Linked DNA regions of Macaca fascicularis. The protein of the gene in region 2 interacts with the protein of the main gene of each other region in a biochemical or structural test. Links are inferred from orthologs where the notes say so. Each region holds a gene or a part of one and is shown on either strand. Other genes may lie near its edges. The genes, in order: EPN1, REPS2 and GRB2.

Region 1 (3,644 bases), on a different chromosome or scaffold from region 2:
TGTGCCTATGCTCAGCTATCAGCACATGCCACAGCAGGGACAACAGTGACACGTGCTGACCTCACAAAGCTGCTCTCAGGACAGCGTCCAGCAGGCAGCACAAGCGGCAACCAAAGCAGGTTTCCACAGACACCATCAACCCTCCCCGGGGGTACTGAGGCTGAACCCCACCCTCAGTGTGAGGAATCAGCAGTTCAGGGTGGAGCAGGAACCCCACGTCCTCAGCCACATGGGCTGGGGATCCCCAAGCTCAAAGAGAAAGGCCGGCGCCCAGACTCTGCTGTGGGGAGCATAGAAAGGACAGTCTCAAGAATCAAGAGATGCTGTGAGGATGGTGAACACAGCAAGAACAGCCAGGCCTGGGGAGGGTGTCAGAGGGGCTACGAAAACCACAGGGGAGGTCTTGAGGGTGACAAAAACCTATGCCTTGGCTGTGATGACAGTTATGAAACACGTGCATCTGTCAGAACCCAGAAAACTCTATCTTGAAAGGCTGGGTTTTACTGTGTGCAAATTATACCTCAGTAAACCCACCTTTACAAAGTTATTAGAAAGAACCAGGCAAGAAAGGCTGGGTAAGACCTGTGACTGGCTGGCTGCCTCCTCCAGGAAGTCTGCCCTGACTGCCTGAGGCCCGCAGAGCCTTGTGCTGTGTTCCCTCCTTCATGGCACCCGCCAGCCTATCGGCTCAACTCCCACCGACCTGGGAGCTGCCTGAGGGTGGGGGTCGGGTTTGATCAGGGCTGGGTCCCCAGCACCGTCCAGCAAGAGGCTGCCCACAGGTAACCAACCTCAGGACAAAAGTGCGGCATGCACAAAAACAATCAAGTTGCTTCTCCATGGAGGCTCTCCCACCTCCTGTAGGAAGCACCCCAAGCCCCGGCCTGGCACTGAAGGCCATATCCCTCTCCTGCCCTGCCCTGCCGTCCACCCCGGCCACCAGCACCGCATGCTCCCTAGCAGACTCTCAGGCCTTGGCACCTGCCAGCCCTGCCCACAGGCCACTCTGTCTCTGCCCCCAGCAGCATCACTCTGGCCACTAGCCAGGAAGGATCCGCGTCTAGGGCCCCTCTGGATTCATCACCTCTGCACACCCACCCCTCCAGCCCCACCTGCCCCTCCAGCCCCGCCCCTCCTCCTTGCCTCCACAGAGGCTCCCCTGCACCCCCAGGCTTTTCCAAGATCCTCAACTAAACAAACGCCTCCCAGCCCTTCACAATAAATGACCAATAACTGATTCAACCTATGACTCAACCCAATCTTGGTGTGTCGGGCTGGGCATGAAAACCAGTCACAGGAAATAGGCCTCAGCCCCTGCTCCCACGTGGAAGTGGTGCAGCGCTCCCAGCCTCAGCCTCATCTGTGAGTGGAGGGAACTGCCCTCACCTGGGCAGAAGTCTCCAAAATCAGCAAGGACAGGGACCTCGCCCAGAAAAGGCCCAGGTTTAAGTGCACGAGGGTGGAGGCTTGCAGGTCTGGTGCACCAAGACACCCAGAGCGGGCCCTCTGCAGATGCTTGCCAATGGACCGCAACAGCAGCTGTCTAACATTCACCAGCCCCTAACCCGAGTCAGACGTGAATCAACTCCATGGGCCCTCACAGAGGGAGATTCAGGGATGAGCCCGAGATCCCACCACCGGGAGAGTAACCCGGCCCAGCCCACGTCCTTGGCCGCTTTGCCGTAACACGAGGAACACAGTAACCAAAGACCAAAGGTGGGGATGCTAAGGCCCCTGGACCCCACGAACAGCAAACTGAAAACCCACTCGCTGAGTCCTGCTCACAGGTGCGAGCCCTTTGACCCAAAACCTGCGATCTGCGTGTGTGGTCAGTGGATCAGGGCCAGCAACTAGGCCACATCCATGGAGGGCACTTTGGCCACATTTGCCAAAATTACACATGCACGAGCCTCTTGACTCGGCAACTCCAGTTCTAGAAAACAGCAAAGGTACAAGGATATTCACGGCAATCTCATTCTTAAAACACTGCAAAACCCTTTTCAAAAAAATCCATCAACAAGTCACTAGTTAAATAAATTATGACCAATCCATAGAGTTGAAAGTTCTGCAGTTGTAAAAGAAAAAAAAAAGCAGCAAATCTTTTACATCCCGATAGGCAATGTAAAGATAAAATCTCCTTTTCCTTTTTTAAATTGGGGTCTAATATACATATGGTAAGACTCGCTCATTTTAACATCAGTCTGAGTTCTGACAAATGCACAGGACATGAAGCCACCACGGCACTCAAGGCACAGAACAGTCCCGCTGCCCCCGAAATGTCCTTGTGCTGCCCTCTGTAGGTGACCCCTCCCGTCCAACTCCCGGCGAGCACCAACCTGCCCTCTGCATTCCATCCCTATGGTCCCGTCTCTCCCACTGTCGGACTGATGCCAGCAAACAGTATGCAGGCTTTTGAGTCTGACAAGCAGTGTGAGAACACGACACTGTTCCAGTGTTCATCCCCAGCGTGGCATCGCCTGTGCCACGGGGAGCACACACCTGCCTGAGGGGCGTTCACAGACGGGGCCCAGAGCAGAAACTTGGCTGCTGTGAGGAAAGGAACTGGGTATCTGGGCACACAGAAGAGATGGGCACTGTGGGCCCTTTCGGGCCTCCTGAGCATATGAATCTTACGAATGCACCACTCACTCAAAAAACAGATTTTAACCACTAGGCTCCAAACTTCTTAGCCTTACATTCGTTGCCTTCATTAAACAAAAAGAGAGATTTTACTCTTCTACAGCTCCTCTTGAGAACCGGGATGCCATCCCAGGCAGGGTGCACAACACGGGCTCCTGCCCTCCCGCCTGAGCCCCTGCACCTGCCTGGGGAGGAGAGCGGGACGCTGACCTTGTAGACGTGCCGCCAGTTCTTGCCATGGTCATTGAGCCGCTTCCAGATCATGCTCATGATCTCCGAGAAGGCGACGACGTTGTAGGTGAGGTCAGCAATCTCTGACATGAGGGAGCTGGACGGACCCCAGGGGTCATTGCTCGTGGCCTCTCGAACCTTGATCTCCGCCTCTGAGTAGTTGTGGACAATGTTCTTCATCTGGCGCCTCAAGGACGAGGTCGACATGGTGCCCGGCTGCAGCAGCAAGGGGCACAGGGCCCCTGATGCGTGGAGAGACGGGGTGACTCCTGGACGAAGGCTGCAGCAGGCGCTGGCAGGTCACCGCATCTGAGAAGGGAACAGGACCTCTGGAAACACAAGTGGGACATGGGTTGCCCAGAGCCCTCAGGGTCAAAGATGAGTTCCTAACTGTGGCCCAGAAGGCTCTGTCCCTTGTTAACCTCTAGGTCTCAAAGTAACCCCATCCATGTTTCAGTTCCTCAAACAGGCTGCCTCCTTCCTGCTGGGGCCCCTGCTCAGTGAGGCAGAGTATATGCAGTGGCACATCGCAGCCCCACACCCTGGCTCAGCTAGTTCCTGGCCAGGCCACAGTGGGTGGGCTGCCATCTCCTGCACCTCAGCTTTGCTTTCTCTTCCGTCAAATGGGGCTCCATGCAGTCATCTAGGGAACTGACGCCCTGTAAACACTGGTAGCACATCCGCAGGCACTCCATCCTGCCCATGCGCTCTTCCTTCTTCCTCGCCCAGGGATGTCCACTCACCCCAAGTGCTCTGTTTACACTTCCCAGGTC
Region 2 (4,302 bases):
ATGAGCCACCGCACCCGGCCTGGACTTTCTTTTAAAAGTGGCTAGAGGGCTCAAGTGGCTCAAGCCTGTAATCCCAGCACTTTGGGAGGCCGAGGTGGGGGGTGTGTGGATCACCTGAGGTCAGGAGTTCGAGACCAGCCTAACAAACATGGTGAAACCCCGTCTCTACTAAAAATACAAAAACTAGCCAGTCATGGTGGCAGGCACCTGTAATTCCAGCTACTCGGGAGGCTGAGACAGAATAATTGCTTGAACCCGGGAGGTGGAGGTTGCAGTGAGCCAAGACTGTGCCATTGAACTATAGCCTGGGCAACAAGACTGAAACTCCATCTCAAAAAAAAAAAAAAAAAAGGCTAGAGTACTAGCCAGGGGGAAGCAAGCACATTTGAAAAATACAGTGTGTATGCTTTAGGATAGGGAGGAATGGAGAGAGAGGAGGACATGGACAGGGATGGAAAGATGTGGGTTCTCGCATTGATTTTTGGCGTGAGCTTGAAAAAGTTTTGTACTTAAAAAAAAATTCCTGTTTTACTACCAAAATAAGTGCTTCCTGTGGAGAGTGAGGATCCTCTGTTACTGAGGTTTGTATTTTCAGGCCCTAGCATATAAATCTGCTACATACGAGATATTCAACTAGTTTTGAAGGAATGAAGGTGAACATGGCAGTTTCCTCATATGTAAAAGCAGGATTTGGACAAAATGATCTGCAAAATGGGTCTTTTACTACTCTAGTATTTACGAGTAACCGATGTTATTCCTTATGAAGTCTCAACTCCTGGTTTGAGCCATGTCTGAAGAGGTGGCCTAACTCCAATACCCACTGAACAGTTTGGCGTCAGTGGGACCCTGTTTGTACAGACGTCTGTGTCTTCCAGCTGTTTAGGACATAAGCACTACTGCTATGGAAGAAAGGAAACCTAATTTCCCATGCCTTGTCCGTTTTCTGGAAAGGGCATGGCGTGGTGTGGGCACCACACTTGCCCCAGCCTTCTGGCGAAAAAACACCACGACCTTCCCCGCTCCCCGAAAAGAGCTTTTCTCCAGTTGGGTCTAGATGCGCCCTTCCCAACCAGGGCGGATGGCCAAAGACTCCGCTCCCTTGCAGGGTAGGCTTGGAAAGGCACGGGGCTCGCCTTCCTGGGCAGCGGAGCAGGTGACGCGCGGAGGGCAGGCAGCGCGCTGGGTTAGTTACCTGGCGCTGGGCGGGGCAGGCGGGAGGCGGGGGCGGGGCCGCGGTGAGATATCAGGCTGTGATTGGGCCGCTCCGCGCCTGTCTCCATGTGCCGCGCAGCTGAGGCACAACATTCAAGCCCGGGGGCGGGGCCGGCGCGCGCCGGGAGGAAGCGGCCGCGCGGCAGCTGCGGGGCGTGGGGGTGGCGGCGGCGTCGGCTGAGGCCGAGGAGCCGGTGGCTGTGGCGGACGCAGCGGCACCCCAGCTAGGGACAGGGCTCCGCCGCGCCCCCTTGCTGGTCCCATGGAGGCGGCAGCGGCGGCGGCGGCGGGTGGGGGCTGTGGCTCCGGGCCGCCACCGCTGCTGCTGAGCGAGGGCGAGCAGCAGTGCTACTCCGAGCTCTTCGCGCGCTGTGCCGGCGCCGCGGGCGGGGGCCCCGGGTCTGGGCCTCCCGAGGCCGCCAGAGTCGCCCCCGGCACGGCCACTGCAGCCGCCGGCCCAGTGGCTGACCTGTTTCGGGCGTCGCAGCTGCCAGCCGAGACGCTGCACCAGGTGGGTCCCTCCGCCTCTTGTCCCTGCGGGTCTGTGGGGCAGTGTCTGCGGGGGCGGAGGTTGCGAGTGGGGCGACAGGGCTGCCCCCAGGGACCCGGAGGCCTCGGCCAGTTGTCAGAGAACTCTGCAGCCGGGGATAGCGGCGACGCCCTTGTACCCGGGGGACACCAGCCTCCTCCGCAGCTCAGCTCCTCGCCCAGTCAGTGCTGGGTGCGCGCTCCCCATCTTCCTTCCCTGAGACTGTCTGACATTCCCTCCCCTCCCCCGGCCATTTCTGGGGTTCTGCAGCCGCCCAGACCCAAAGTTTGCCCTGTTCTGGAAGTGGTGTTTGTTTTGGCTGCTGCCTGGTTTAACCTCTGCTCGCTGCTCCTGCCCCTCCCTCTCCTGAGTGGGCTGTCAGGGTGCCTTGCTGGGATTTGAACCTGAGGGGTGTGTGTGTCTGTAGGGTTGGAGGCCCAGGGCTGAATGTTGTCCTCTGTATGTAGTTGTGATATATACGTATCTACAATATGTAATTGCCCATAACATATTTCTAAATATTAATATTAAATCAAAAACCTTAATGACAAGTTGCAGAACAGGGACACGGGACTGCAAGAGGACGTTTGTCAAGTCAAAACCAAATTTCCCATTTGAGGCTAGAGGTGGACTTCAGAAGTCCACCATGGGAAACAGCTGTAGTTTCCCATCTATCATTACTTGGACTTGAAATAGAATTGAAAGGTAAGGGGTGTCATAGCTACCACCTTTTGACTGTTCTATACTTGGAAAAGGACTAGGGGATGATACATACCAGACGCTGTGTTTGTTTTGTGCTTTCCTTGGAGCTTGGAGAAAGACTAATTGATAAGCCTTTGTCTGTCATTTCATGTCACCAGCACTTCATGGTGATAAGATTGTTAATATCAGGTTCAAAACGTCAAATGAAGCTTTCCTTAAAAGCAATAGTATGAATGTTATTAACACCAATGGAATATTTAGAGTGGTGAGTGGTATTTTAAAATCTAGTTTCAAAGGAGAACTGAGGGTTTTATGGTTCACTTGCAATGTCATTGTGTTCATACGTATTTTTAAAGAAATTACTTAAGACTGCGTTTTATATTGCTAGAGTGTTTGTACTGCCCTGTGTTTGTGAGCGTAACTTTAAACACTTTGTAATCTTTCACCCTTTTGAATTTGGGATTTCTGAAAATATAATTAGTATTCACAGAACTTAGCATGGCTGTTTGTCCCTAAAAAAGTCCTTGATATACAGACAGTTCTGCCATTGCTGACGAGTAGTTGAGCTGGATCAGGTAAAGAGAAAATCAGTGTCTTAAAACACAAACCATGACTATTACTTGAGGCCCTCAGAATACTCCCGAGCATAACACATTTATTCAATGCTGTAACTGCTTCCCAGCTGAAAGAGGAATAATTGACTGAGGCTATGCAGCAAGTAAGTGACAGCTGGGTACCTATTAAGGCTTATTTTGTTGTCAGTAATGCATCGGATAAGAGGAGGTGGGCATAGTAAATCTGAATATGTTGGTCGATGCCTCCTTAGGAACTGGGAAGAAGGATTTCCTGATGTTAGAACCCATGCTTTCTTGAGGTACATATGGTTTTAAAAGGACCCAAGGCACAGTGCCTGTGCGTGAATGAGATTATATTTTTGATGTCCAGTTGAAATCTGCTTGCAAAAGACTGCTTCAGATACTGGCCAAAGGGGACATCCCTACAGTATTGCTTGGAGTAAATCTCTCAGAGCTTGAAGCTCCCTTATTCAGCCTAGCAAAGCAAAACACATCATCCCCCTTCAATCCAACAAAATTACCATAACTCATTATTCTTGGTACAGGTGAAAATGAACACTGAAGGCATCCCGGACATGTAATCCTAAGAGAGTCAAACAAAGTCAGCAACCAGCAGACCCCTAATTTTCACCCATCACTTTGGTGGTGGTGGTGGTGTGTGTATGCTCCATCCACTTTAATTTGTATTACCCCATCGGTGTATTAGCCATTCTTTAAAACAAACATAGATGTTTTTATCCTTTCCCTGTTAAACAGGAACCTGTAAGTTGAGATTTAAGTGCCCCGACAGGTATAACTGCTCAAATCTTGGAGGCACTAACCAGCCCTGGTATTTTCTATGGTAACAACCAGGTTTTCCTCTTAATAAGCGTACAATTAAGATTACCATAATAATGTTCCAGGAAGAATGAGAATCTTGCAGTCTTACCACAAGTAAATGGTCTATAAAAATATTTATTTATTATTTATTTATTTTTTGAGATGGAGTCTCATTCTTTTGCCCAGGCTGGAGTGCGGTGATGTGATCTCAGCTCACTGCAACCTCCGCCTCCCCGGTTCAAGCGATTCTTCTGCCTCAGCCTCCCGAGTAGCTGGGACTACAGGCGCATGCCACCACGCCTGGCTAATTTTTACATTTTTGGTAGAGACAGCCGTTTGCCGTGTTGGCCAGGCTAGTCTCGAACTCCTGACTTCAGGTGATCCATCCACCTTGACCTCCCAAAGTACTGTGATTACAGGCGTGAGCCATCGTGTCCGGCCTTAACATATTTTTTAATAGGCTAT
Region 3 (3,644 bases), on a different chromosome or scaffold from region 2:
CCGTCACACTCACACTGCAACCTGGACAAGCAGTTCCCTGAACCCCCAAGGGGCTCACACACCTTAAAGCTGGAGCTTAAAGCCTCCTGGCTTAGTACAAGCAGGAGAATGCTTCACCTTGTACTCCTGCTTGTCTCCCTTGCTCTACCCTGCCCCAAGGGAAAAATATTTACACAGAGTAGGAGACAAATTGGCTGAAAAGCTCTGGACTGTCTTTAACTTATTTTAAAACAAAACAAATTAAAAACAAAAACAAAAACAAAAAACACCACCACTCAGAAGCAACCCTCGAAATAAGGAAAAAGGCACTATGAAAAAACAACATGCTCGATAATCCCACTGGAAGGGCCAACAAAGTGGAAAGAGACAGGCTGTTGGGAGGGCTTTTTTTTTTTTTTTTTGAGATGGAGCCTCGCTCTGTCACCCAGGCTGGAGTACAATGGCATGGTCTCGGCTCACTGCAACCTCCACCTCCCAGGTTCAAGTGATTCTCCTGCCTCAGGCTCCCGAGTAGCTGGGATTACAGGCGCATGCCACCACACCCAGCTAATTTTTGTATTTTTAGTACAGACAGGGTTTTGCCATGTTGGCTAGGTTGGTCTCGAACTCCTGACTTTGTGATCCACCCACCTTGGCCTCCCAAAGTGCTGGGATTACAGGCGTGAGCCACCACGCTGCCCGGCCCAGGCAGGCTTTCTAGGGAAGCCATGGAGGCAGCGACATGCTTTCCTTCTACCCCACTCTACTGCCAACTTGGACAAAATACACTGGGGGTCTGGGCTGGAAGGCAGATTCCTACAAGCCCCCTCCTCTGGAGGAAGTTAAACAGCAAAGGTGTCGAGCTGCCCTGCCCGCTCCTTTTTGTGTGTATATACGAAGAACACAGAAAGAGTGGTTCTTCTTTCAGTCATTCCAACTAAAACAGACATTTTGCATAGAGAGAATACCAGCCCACTTGGTTTCTTGTCTTTTATTATTGGCGTCAGCTAGGACTATACGTGGCCTTAAACGTCATGCACTGATGGACAGAAGAGAAAAAAGGATGAAAAAAAGGGCAAAGGAGGGGAAAGAGGAGCAGCAGTGAAAATTTGTAATAAAAACTCTTCTTAATTTATAGGTAAGTTTTGGCATTTTTAAATCCAACACCCCCTCCCACCCCCTAAAGTTCCAACCAAAGTGAGAGGGTCACAGGGTGACCCGGCCAGGTGTTCTGCACTCCCTCACAGGCTGCTGTTAGTGGCAGCTTGTGGGTTTAATTCTTTTGTATGTGTTTTACATTTTTCACTTTCTTTAAATAATTGCTTCTTGATTCTTAGACGTTCCGGTTCACGGGGGTGACGTAATTGCGGGGAAACATGCCGGTCTGCCCGTGGCAAGCTCCTTTCCACCAGTTGGGGTCTGAGTTATCCATGACATGGATAAAATCTCCCCGGCGGAAGCCCAGCTCTCCATCCTCCTGAGGATCAAAGTCAAAGAGGGCCTGGACGTATGTCGGCTGCTGCAAAACAGGAGCAGGAAAAACCCATATTGCATTCCTGGTCTGTGGCCGGCCACCTCCGAGGCCAGACGGGTTCCAGGGGGAAACGAATGCGTGCCAAATTCTCCATGTTTTCTAAACTCACCTCCCATCTCCCAACCCCCCATTTATTCTTACCTCTTCTAAGTTTACAGGCCAAGCGGGTTTAGTGTGATCTTTCCCAGTGCTCAGAAAATGCTAGAGTATGTCTCCCAGAGGAGGGTGGCCAACTGTGCCATATTATCAAGTAGAGGGCAGGCAGTGCTTGGAGGGGAAAGTTCTTCAGAAACAGCCGTCTGTGTTTAGGCTGTGGGCCCAGAATCTGCAAATCCCTTCTACCACACCCTTAAGATATTAGAGCCTAAAATTCTGGAGCTCGCATAACATAAGGGACTCTAACTGTAACTTATGACCAGGGCTCGAGGGACAGGAACGGTGCCGACCTCACTCCCTCACAAGCATAGTTTTCCTCATAATTTGCCTCCAGGGACAGGATCTTTGGGTGGGTGTGTTAAAGACCATCTCCCTAGAGAGACTGGCAAGCTGGCTACACACTGCCTCTGGAAAAGCAAAAATCCTATATTTAAAACAACAAATCTTTCTTTTTCTTTTTCTTTTTTTTTTTGAGATGGAGTCTCCCTCTGTCACCCAGGTTGGAGTGCGGTGGTACAATCTCAGCTCACTGTGACCTCCACCTCCTGGGTTCAAGCGATTTTTCCATCTCAGCTTCCCAAGCGCAGGTGGGCGCCACCACATCTGGCTAATTTCTGTATTTTTAGTAGAGACAGGGTTTCACCATGTTGGCCAGGCTGGTCTCAAGCTCCTGACCTCAAGTGATCTGCCTGCCTCAGCCTCCCAAAGTGCTGGGATTACTGGCATGAGCTACTACGCTGGGCCAGAAACAAGAAATTTTTAGTGTGAATGGAAGGTAACGTGTTCAGTAACGAGCACAGAAGCCCCAGTGGCAATCCCTGAAGGGCGCCTGCATGTTGATTGAGGGTCACCTCCCCCTTCCCACAGGAATGCACACTGAGGAGCTATTCTTAATTTCTAAAATGATCCCATCTCACCCTGATGAGGCTTACCTGTGGCACCTGTTCTATGTCCCGCAGGAATATCTGCTGGTTTCTGGAGACAGATGTAGATCTGTGATAATCCACCAGCTCATTCAAAGAATTGAACTTCACCACCCAGAGGAAGTACTTGCCGGCTCCGTCTCGGAGCACCTTGAAGTGCTGCACATCGTTTCCAAACCTGGGAGGGACAGAGAGCACATGGACCGGCTAAAGGCTCTAACCTGGCAAATCGAAGGCTATCTGCCCATATAAGCGATATCCTGAGAGAACCACTGTCCCGGCAGCACTCCTCAGGGACTGCAGAGTAACAAGCTTCCTCACTGCGTGTCCCTGGAACAGACCCCTCCCTATGACTGATGGGCACCAGGACAACATGAAGAAACCAAACAGGGACAGGCCATCAGTCACTCTCATTCTGAAGATGTTTGTAAGATAAAGAGTCCAGGCTGGGCACGGTGGCTCACACCTGTAATCCCAACACTTTGGAGGCCAAGGCGGGCAGATCACTTGAGGTTGGGATTTCGAGACCAGCCTGATCAACATGGAGAAACCCCATCTCTACTAAAAATACAAAAGTAGCTGGGCGTGGTGGTGCATGCCTGTAATCCCGGCTACTCGGGACACCAAGGCAGGAGAATCACTTGAACCCAGGAGGCGGAGGTTGCAGTGAGCTGAGATTGCGCCACTGCACTCCAGCCTGGGTAACAAGAGTGAAACTCTGTCTCAAAAAAAAAGAAAAAAACAGTCCATGTGCCCTGAACCCTAACAAATAAAACAGCCTTACTTAAGACAAAGAAGTGTGACTTAACTTCCTTTGAATAAAAAAATAATTAAAATGTTATATGCAGGAAGAAGGTGAGGAGGGCTGGAAATACTTTCAACAATTCTCTCGTAACTGCGAATAGTTCCAAGTCATGTTTTCCATTCAGGAATTTTAGATCCACTCACGGGGAAAAGGTCTCTGAATGAAAGGACACACTGGCACAATAAAAGAGGCCCAGGCTTCGAAACCCAAAAGCTTCTCCATCACCAGATCACACCCTTTTACACTG

Evidence for each region.
Region 1: the proteins of REPS2 (region 2) and EPN1 form a complex in vitro, tested with the Homo sapiens proteins (3 studies listed by BioGRID and IntAct, with this or other methods). The link is inferred for Macaca fascicularis from reciprocal best matches to the Homo sapiens genes REPS2 and EPN1.
Region 3: the proteins of REPS2 (region 2) and GRB2 form a complex in vitro, tested with the Homo sapiens proteins (2 studies listed by BioGRID and IntAct, with this or other methods). The link is inferred for Macaca fascicularis from reciprocal best matches to the Homo sapiens genes REPS2 and GRB2.

What each region holds. Positions count from the first base shown.
Region 1 is NC_088393.1:63,633,515-63,637,158, reverse strand, and holds part of EPN1 (epsin-1), read right to left. Parts: intron 3,201-3,644; 5' UTR 3,079-3,200; coding exon 2,851-3,078; intron 1-2,850. UniProt on the Homo sapiens protein: Binds to membranes enriched in phosphatidylinositol 4,5-bisphosphate (PtdIns(4,5)P2). Modifies membrane curvature and facilitates the formation of clathrin-coated invaginations. Regulates receptor-mediated endocytosis.
Region 2 is NC_088395.1:16,756,063-16,760,364, forward strand, and holds the start of REPS2 (ralBP1-associated Eps domain-containing protein 2), read left to right. Parts: upstream 1-1,360; 5' UTR 1,361-1,474; coding exon 1,475-1,723; intron 1,724-4,302. UniProt on the Homo sapiens protein: Involved in ligand-dependent receptor mediated endocytosis of the EGF and insulin receptors as part of the Ral signaling pathway. By controlling growth factor receptors endocytosis may regulate cell survival.
Region 3 is NC_088390.1:81,722,695-81,726,338, forward strand, and holds part of GRB2 (growth factor receptor-bound protein 2), read right to left. Parts: intron 2,771-3,644; coding exon 2,602-2,770; intron 1,499-2,601; coding exon 1,313-1,498; 3' UTR 1-1,312. UniProt on the Homo sapiens protein: Non-enzymatic adapter protein that plays a pivotal role in precisely regulated signaling cascades from cell surface receptors to cellular responses, including signaling transduction and gene expression.